Oryzias latipes: one gene and its partner. The protein of the gene in region 1 purifies or fractionates together with the protein of each later gene. This does not show direct contact. Links are inferred from orthologs where the notes say so. Each region holds a gene or a part of one and is shown on either strand. Other genes may lie near its edges. The genes, in order: rcc1l and trub2.

Evidence for each region.
Region 2: the proteins of rcc1l (region 1) and trub2 purify together in Homo sapiens (affinity purification with mass spectrometry; 3 studies listed by BioGRID and IntAct, with this or other methods). This does not show direct contact. The link is inferred for Oryzias latipes from reciprocal best matches to the Homo sapiens genes RCC1L and TRUB2.

The regions. Positions count from the first base shown.
Region 1 is NC_019872.2:27,476,662-27,480,482, forward strand, and holds part of rcc1l (RCC1-like G exchanging factor-like protein), read left to right. Parts: coding exon 1-17; intron 18-904; coding exon 905-971; intron 972-2,323; coding exon 2,324-2,375; intron 2,376-3,821. UniProt on the Homo sapiens protein: Guanine nucleotide exchange factor (GEF) for mitochondrial dynamin-related GTPase OPA1. Activates OPA1, by exchanging bound GDP for free GTP, and drives OPA1 and MFN1-dependent mitochondrial fusion. Plays an essential role in mitochondrial ribosome biogenesis.
Region 2 is NC_019863.2:528,971-532,891, forward strand, and holds the start of trub2 (mitochondrial mRNA pseudouridine synthase TRUB2), read right to left. Parts: upstream 2,707-3,921; 5' UTR 2,584-2,706; coding exon 2,472-2,583; intron 2,374-2,471; coding exon 2,239-2,373; intron 1,228-2,238; coding exon 1,153-1,227; intron 1,066-1,152; coding exon 1,004-1,065; intron 919-1,003; coding exon 837-918; intron 653-836; coding exon 580-652; intron 1-579. UniProt on the Homo sapiens protein: Minor enzyme contributing to the isomerization of uridine to pseudouridine (pseudouridylation) of specific mitochondrial mRNAs (mt-mRNAs) such as COXI and COXIII mt-mRNAs.

The DNA of each region.
Region 1 (3,821 bases):
CACCGACAGAGAAGGAGGTGAGACGAGATGTTTGTGCTTTTCTAGAACAGGGCGGGGCCAACAGCCCGCTGAACCAGATCAGGGATGCTGTCTTCTTTCACACAGTCTGTCAAACAGAACAGAACAGTGTTCCCTTTCCACGTTGCAGTTCATCTTTTGCGGTTTCGCTCATTCTTTTAGTGCGATGATGCTTTTTTTTTCTGCAGAAAGTGTGCAGAAAATTCTTCTGCTGCTGGATTGTGGTGTAAGATTTGTTGGTCGCCGCACAAACGCAGCATTTCTTTGAGTTTGCGTTTTACACGACGTGCATCAAATGATGCAAATGCCTCTAAAATGAGAAGAAAAGACACAGTTTTGAAACAAAATGTTCCGTTTTAAAATATATCTTTATTTTCAATCAAAATAATTTTGTCCAGATTCCATTTTATGTATTTATTTATTTTTAAGGTGGATTACCAAAACACACATTTGCTCCTGGTTAGAACCTTTCGTGGACTACGAGTTGAAACGTTGGCGCTAGAAGGAGCTTTGGCGTCTTTTCTTCTGGTGCTTTGGTGGAGCGGAAACCTCCTTCATGTGTGCTTCTGAACGCCACTCCACTGCAGCAGATGTTCACTGTGACGAGTGAAACCAATAAAAATGGACTTTTATGATTTGAAACGAGCTTTGTGGCTTCATGTCTGGCACTCAGGGGAGAGACGTGTCACAAAGATGTTTGTTTCTTTTTGCTCCGTTGCCTTAAATGTTATGTTTTAGTTCATTCAGACGTTCATCACTTATCTGAGAAAAGTCCAATTTCATTTGAGTTTATTTGTATGGAAAGACGCCTCCAAATGAAAGTGTTTTTCTTTTTCTCTCCTGTTTTATATCTGAAAACTTCACTTTTGTGTTTGTCATTTGTTAGTTTTCAGTTTGGGCAACAACGCGTTCGGCCAGTGTGGGAGGCGGATAGTCCGAGATGAAGTCTACAGGTGCGTCGCTTTAACTTATTGCATCATTTTTCTGCTGAAATACAAGATATTTCTCTGATTTAAATCCAGTCTTTTCTTCTATCAGCTCAGTTTTTAAGACAGATAAAGGAAGAACAGATTAATTTAAGAACTTTTTTAAAAATAGGATAAAGCAGAAAAAATCAATCTGCTTTGTGGTTTTCTTGTGATAAAATACTTTAATCTTTCCTGTTTCTTTATGATTCAACATTAAGACATTATTAGAGATAATTTATTTATGTTTAGGAATAATCACCTGATAAAAGTTATATTATATTTTATGATGATGAATCATTAAAACAAAAAAATCTATTTCACTTTTATTGTTTATTTTACTCAGTAAAAACAATTATAAGATAATAATAATGATAAAAATAATTTGATTTAAATAGACTGATCCAATTATAAAAGCTGTAACAGACATTAATGTTTATTACACCAAGGTGATCATTTAAAATGGCAACAATGTTTAGATTTTTCAGCAAAATTCACAAGAAAACTAGACTTTTGCAGAAGTGGATGTTTAAGTTCTGTTCTTTAACCCTTGTGCTATCCTATGGGGTCCATATGACCCCCCCCTTACATTGACGTGTTCTCCCTACCATGACAAAGGTGGATAAAGGTGGAAAGAAGGGTTACTTGAAAGCAGATTTGTGAATAGAAATGTATAATTTATGTTTCAGCAAAGCTCCAGGTTTGGTTTTTCTCACTGAAATAGTTTAGGCAGCTCTCTGGAAATCTCTTGTTTAGGATTTACTTTAGAGATTTGCTGTTTTCCTTTTGGCATCAGTAAAAATCTTAAACGTGATTTTATTTTGAAAAACAGCATCAATCTAAACACAGAAAAACGTGGTTTTGATGGAACTGAGATGAGGATTAACGATTGTAACGATGACTTTAAAAAAAGATTTAAAGGCAAAGTAACAAATGAAAACCTTTAAAGGAATATTTATCTCCTGGATCTTCATAATATTGCAGAACATGAACATTTGTGAAGCTTCATTCTGTTCATCTCGATCTGTTTCGCTGAAAATGGTGTTTTTAGTGTTTTTAACGTGTTATTGTAGCATTTTTCTGATGGTGGAGGACATATATAAAGAAACTTAGGCTTAATTGCATTTCCCAGTATTTCTTTATGCAAATCGTTGTGAATCAGGAGCAAACAAACAAGTGTCGATGAGAGGAAGTGGGGGGGGGGGTCGCTCTATGTCACAGTGTTTTAGATTCAGGCTAAAAACGACATTGTTATAATTAAAGGCAACGCTTTGAACACAGATCAGGAGATCAGAGACTCTGGTCGTCTGACTGACGGTTCCTGTTTTTGGTTTCAACAGCGACAGCCACGTCATCCACAAGATGGAAGGCTTCGGCGACAAGGTCGTCCAGGTGAGGCACACCCGGGCAGTCCTCTTGAGGCACACCCATTGCAAAGTGTCCACTCCGTCTGCATTAAGTAGATCTCTTTAGTTAAGTCAGGAGTCTGCACACTTTCACAGTAAAAGAGCCATTTGGTCCAGTTTCTGACAGACCTGAACCAGAACCAAGTCCCGACTCACTGCTTACAAAAATAAAAATCAAGTATAGCTTTTAAATGTTAACCAGAACTGAATCGTAAAAGTGGTTTTTTTTTCTATACATAACATATTTTAACTTCTTTTACTTTGGACTGCAACAGGATCCTTTCAAAATAAAATACAATTAAGATCTTCCTGCTGCAGCAGATTTACTTAAATTAAAAAGGCTGAAGTCAAACACGGCGTTTCCGATCATTATGACTTGGGTTCACCGCCATCTTTATTTCCCTTTTTACCATCAAATATTAACATGACAGCAGTAAATCCATCCACATTAGTGCAACTATGGGTGTGTCAGAAACGAGGCCGTCGTCCTGCGTTGGCCGGGTCCTTCGTCGAGCGGGTTGACGGTTGTGAATATGAACCGGTCTAGCCTTTAGGTAATTCTAGCCATTACATCGGTGGGTGTCCTGTCGCCTAGCAACCCTGAGTCCCGAACAGAGAGGAGTAGGGAACCAGGATGCTTAAAATGTTCCTGTCTTTATTTGATCCAGCTTTTAATCTCGGAGGTGTAAATATAAAAAAAAAGTGCAATTTTCTCCAACTCCGGGTCCCGCTTCACAGTCCGCCATTGTTGTCAGGAAATCTCTGGGTTCGGCTGCAATGCATCTTGGGATATGAACAGGGGTCTTCAACTTGTGGCTCCTTGGCTTTGAAGAAAAATAACGAAATAAATGATAAATATTGTTTTGGTTAATTTGTTTGAATTAGGTTTAGTCGTTTCTGTTTTTAACTCGTCAGATGAAGGCGCACCAAAATCATAAAAATGGAAAATATCAAGAATATTTCTTATTTAACACACTTATTTGGGCGTATTTTTGCATGTGCTGCTTTTACAGTCAAAGAACATAATTTGTTGTGTATAGAAAAAACCATCACAGTTTATACTTCAATTATTATATTTTATAACAATTTCATACATAAATGGTCTAACGGCCACCGAAACATTAAACGGAAAGTGTTTTTCCAAACAAGAACTTTGTGGCTCTCACTGGGTTTTGCTCTGTGACAAACGGACCCAAATGGCTCTTTTATTGTGAAAGGTTGCAGACCCCCGCCATAGAGGGGCCGATCCTTGAAATCCGGTAAAAGAAGGCCGCCTTTGAAGGAGTCGTTGAATTTGGACAGCACTGTGATGTCAGCAGCCTACAGGAGGAACGCAGCCTATAAACTTTAGGAACTTTGCTTCTAAAAAAAACGACTAGACATTGTTTTCCAGCAGAAGATAAGATTTATTTTAATAATAAACCCATCTAAC
Region 2 (3,921 bases), on another chromosome or scaffold:
CCACTACCTACGGTTGGAAGAGGCTTGGTGCGAAATGTCAAAGTGGTGTAAATCCCACGTTAATTGCCCCGGGGCTTTTTCTCTCTCAGCTCTATTCCGATGAAAGACCCGGTGCGTTACAAATATGAATTTCTCCTTCATAATCATGTTTACAAAGGTTGGCAAATCCGTGTTTGCAAAAGGACGCCGTCTATACGTCATTACCAAACAGGAGTTCAGCTAAAGTGTGGGTGTGAGTTCAGCACGTAGAGCAGACTGTCACACTTCAATGACGTGAGGGTCTGGACCACAGAAGCCTTGAACCTGGGTTTACGGGCGTTTACGTTGACTTTTTAGAGAGAGTGTCCACTTGAATGCGAGGTGCTGCATGGATGTAGCTTTAAAGCGTCACATATCAGCACAAAGCTGCTTTTCTCCACGTCAGACTCCTCTGGAATTGGGTTCAGAGCATAAGCAGTTGAAAAGGTACGGCAGTCAGAAGAAAGTCAACACTGGAGCTCCGTCCGGTGTTAACGGGTTGAGAAAAAAACCAGAGTCAGATTTAGAGAAATATTTGACTTTTAGCAGTCACTGCCTTACATTCTCGTTGCCTTCTGATTGGCTCCCTCCAGCATTGCCAGCACTCTCTCCAGCTTATCAAGAGTGATGTGACCTGATAAAACACAACACTTATGGGTGTGCAGTATAAACCATTCCAGTATAAACCATTCCTTAACACAGTCCTAATGGAAGAGGCCAGACAGCACCTGCTTATTTAAAATACATCTGAACCTCATTTGTTTTATTCTGAAACATTTCTTCAGTGGTTTAAGACGCTGTGAAAAAAGGGAAACTACCGTAAGTGGATTTTTCCACAACTCGACCCGTGTGAGAGAAGTCTTTGGTTGCCATCCCAAATTCACATTCCAGCATATAATCCTGAAAGGAACAAAAGCAGCATTGAGCTCATCGCCACAGCGTGTAGCTGAACTACTTCTTCAAACCAGCAGAGGACAGGCATTACCCGGGTCACTCGTGTCTTGTACAGGTCATCTAGAGCCTTGTTTCCATTCCCAACAGCGAGAACTACAACGTGAACACAGGGCGGTCCTTTCTTATTTTGTTCAGGTTGGATGCAGCAGCATCACCTCAGGATCAGGTGAGAGGTCATACCCAGAACTCCAGAGGAGGCGGCGTCCAGGCGATGGCCGACTCCAACGCGTATGTGTTGGAATTCAGGTCCGGTTACTGAAATGAGAAATCCCAAAATCAAGATGCAAATCTGGGTCTCCTGACCTTTTAAATGAACAATGATGGACACTTGTTCCCCACAGTCACAGTTCCTCACATGGAAACAGCCTTTTATAACTGTAGGCCCTGAACTTTATTCAAAATCTTTACCTGGGGGGGGGGGCATAACGTGCAGGACATGAATCAAATCAACCTTTATAATGACCTCAATTCAAAGTGTGTTTAGAGCAGCCTTTTTGTCGTAGGATCATTACAAATGTTGTCTGTGCTGCAATTGTCCCTTTTTTTCTTTTAACAGATGTTTCAACGATTCTTTTGTTGTCAGTTTGCTTCTTGTTTAGTTGGCTTCAGTTACAAACATTTCATGAATCTTTTAGCATTTTCTGTATTTGGGTTTTCTGAGTGTTGATATTCTGGTCTTAAAGTCCCACTATGATCATCCTCTGATATATTCTAAAAGTGTTCCCAGTCATCTTTTAGTTCCTAACACCATCACTGCCACGGAGGATGTAGTCATCCACATGCGGATGCATCAGAATGGAGCAGAGCAGGAAGTTTGCAGCTTCTACATCTACAAGCTTATTCCAACTGCATGTTTTCGTCTGCTCCTGATTCACTGCGATTTGATTAAACAAATACTCGGAAATGCTGCTTTGAGCTTCAATTCTTTCATAGATGTCCATCATGAGAAAAATGCCACAAGAACATGTGAAACACACAGTTTTCATAGGAGTGAGTCGTAAAACTGGAACGATGTGATGGAGCTCAGACAGGAAACACTGCTGATGGTTGTTCTGCTGCTCTGACGTCACCACTGACTGGTTCATTCTGTTGCCTGCTTTCTCAGGTCGCACACAATTACAGGTATTCTACAGCTTCTCTGCGTCCTCTCAAACCCCGAGCACGTACAGCGCATGCGCAGTAATGGTAATTTTGGCTATTCAATAGGTTTGATTCTCTGGCTGAAGCTGAGAAATGAAACTAAACCCGACTTCCACAGCGACTTACCCAGAGGATGATGGGAGAGCGCAGGCACCGGTGCCGCGGACAGCGACGCCGCCGCTCCGGCCTCGCCGGTCGGACTCGGTTCCGCCAAGAACCGAACCTTGTGGGGAAGAGCCGGTGGGGGGGCGACGTTCCCTCCAGCAGAACGACAGGTTCATGAACATTTGCATGTACGTGACGCAGTTTAAAAACATGAATGTGGATAGCTATGCCGACAGGACAGCTTTCCCCCTCACCTTTAAGGAGGTTAGTCTCGATGGTATCACGCACGAGCTTCCAGTGCACGCCGAGGGGTTTGTAAACACAGAACAAGCCGTGTAACCGGCGAAGCTTTAGCGGGGTTACCATGGTGTTAAAAACTATTATTACTACTATAAATTTACATTGTTAGATGGTTGTCACGCCAGTCAGCTGCACAAGGATGCAAAAATCCGTCACATTGCTATGACGCATGCGTACATTGTACCACACGCCTCACCAGGTTAGATGCTGTTTTTATACTGCCACCTGCTGGACTGGAGGACGACAATAAAAGGTCAATAAACCTGTTTTTGTTTGGTTGTGTTTTATTAAACAATTCAGTTAAGGGGAAAGGTTTAACAAACAAACAATAAAAGAAGTTATTTTGAATTTCATTTTTTATCATAACAATAAAAATGTATACATGTCTACACATACAGTCATAACTTCAAAACTAATTAATGCACAACAAAAAATGAGACTAAATTAAATTAGGCCGGTGCTCACACTAACTCCTTAGTGAGTGTGCTCAAATGTTCAAATAAGTCTATCCAATGTGTCTCATCTCTCATGTCTTCCTTCTCACATGCACTCCAGTGACACCAAAGAACTATACATCAGCCCCCCCCCCCCCCCCCCCCCCCCCCCGGTTCTTTCTCTCTCTCCCATACATTTTCTACTTTCCAGTTACCAGATCCCAGTGAAATCTCCCCCCTCATCCAAGGTCAAAACCGTCTGCATGTCAGCTTCTTTGATCATGCCTCCCCTTTCTCCGTCTCCTTATCTCTGCCATTATTCATTCTTTATCAGCTTCTGGTACTGTTCTTTGAAAAACCCGGCTCCGATCCTAATATTCTTAGCAAGTACTGTTGATTTTTAACCTGCCATTTATTTCCAAAATCCTCGGAAAAAATAGTCTCAATATTTCATTCCATCCTCCTCCATAGACTTTCTTGTCTTTCCCACCCCCCTCTGCTGGTTTCATTCTTCTCAGTTCATCCAACTTAAATTAGATCTCAGTCTTCATCAGTTTCTACGGGTGTTCCTCAGGGTTCTGTCCTCGGTCCTCTTCTCTTAATCAGTTCCTTCCTACTTCTGGCATTATTTTTCGTAAATTCAACATTGACTTTCCTTGTTTCGGGGATGACACCCAGCTCTATCTGTCCAGTAAACCTGATTCCTCTCTTCCACCCCCGACCTTTTCCTCCTGTTTGTTTGAAATCAAAAACTGGTTTACTTTATTAAACTCAACAGCGACAAAACCAAACTACTTTTTGTAGGCTCCAAATACACCCTTTCCAAAGTGTCTAGTATCTGTAGATTCAGCTGCTGTCTCCTCCTCCCCTTAGATAAAGCGTCTGGGTGTCGTTCTCGATATCTCACTATCTTTTCATTCTCACAAATAATGACGTTACTCGATCTGCCTACTTTCATCTGCGCAACATT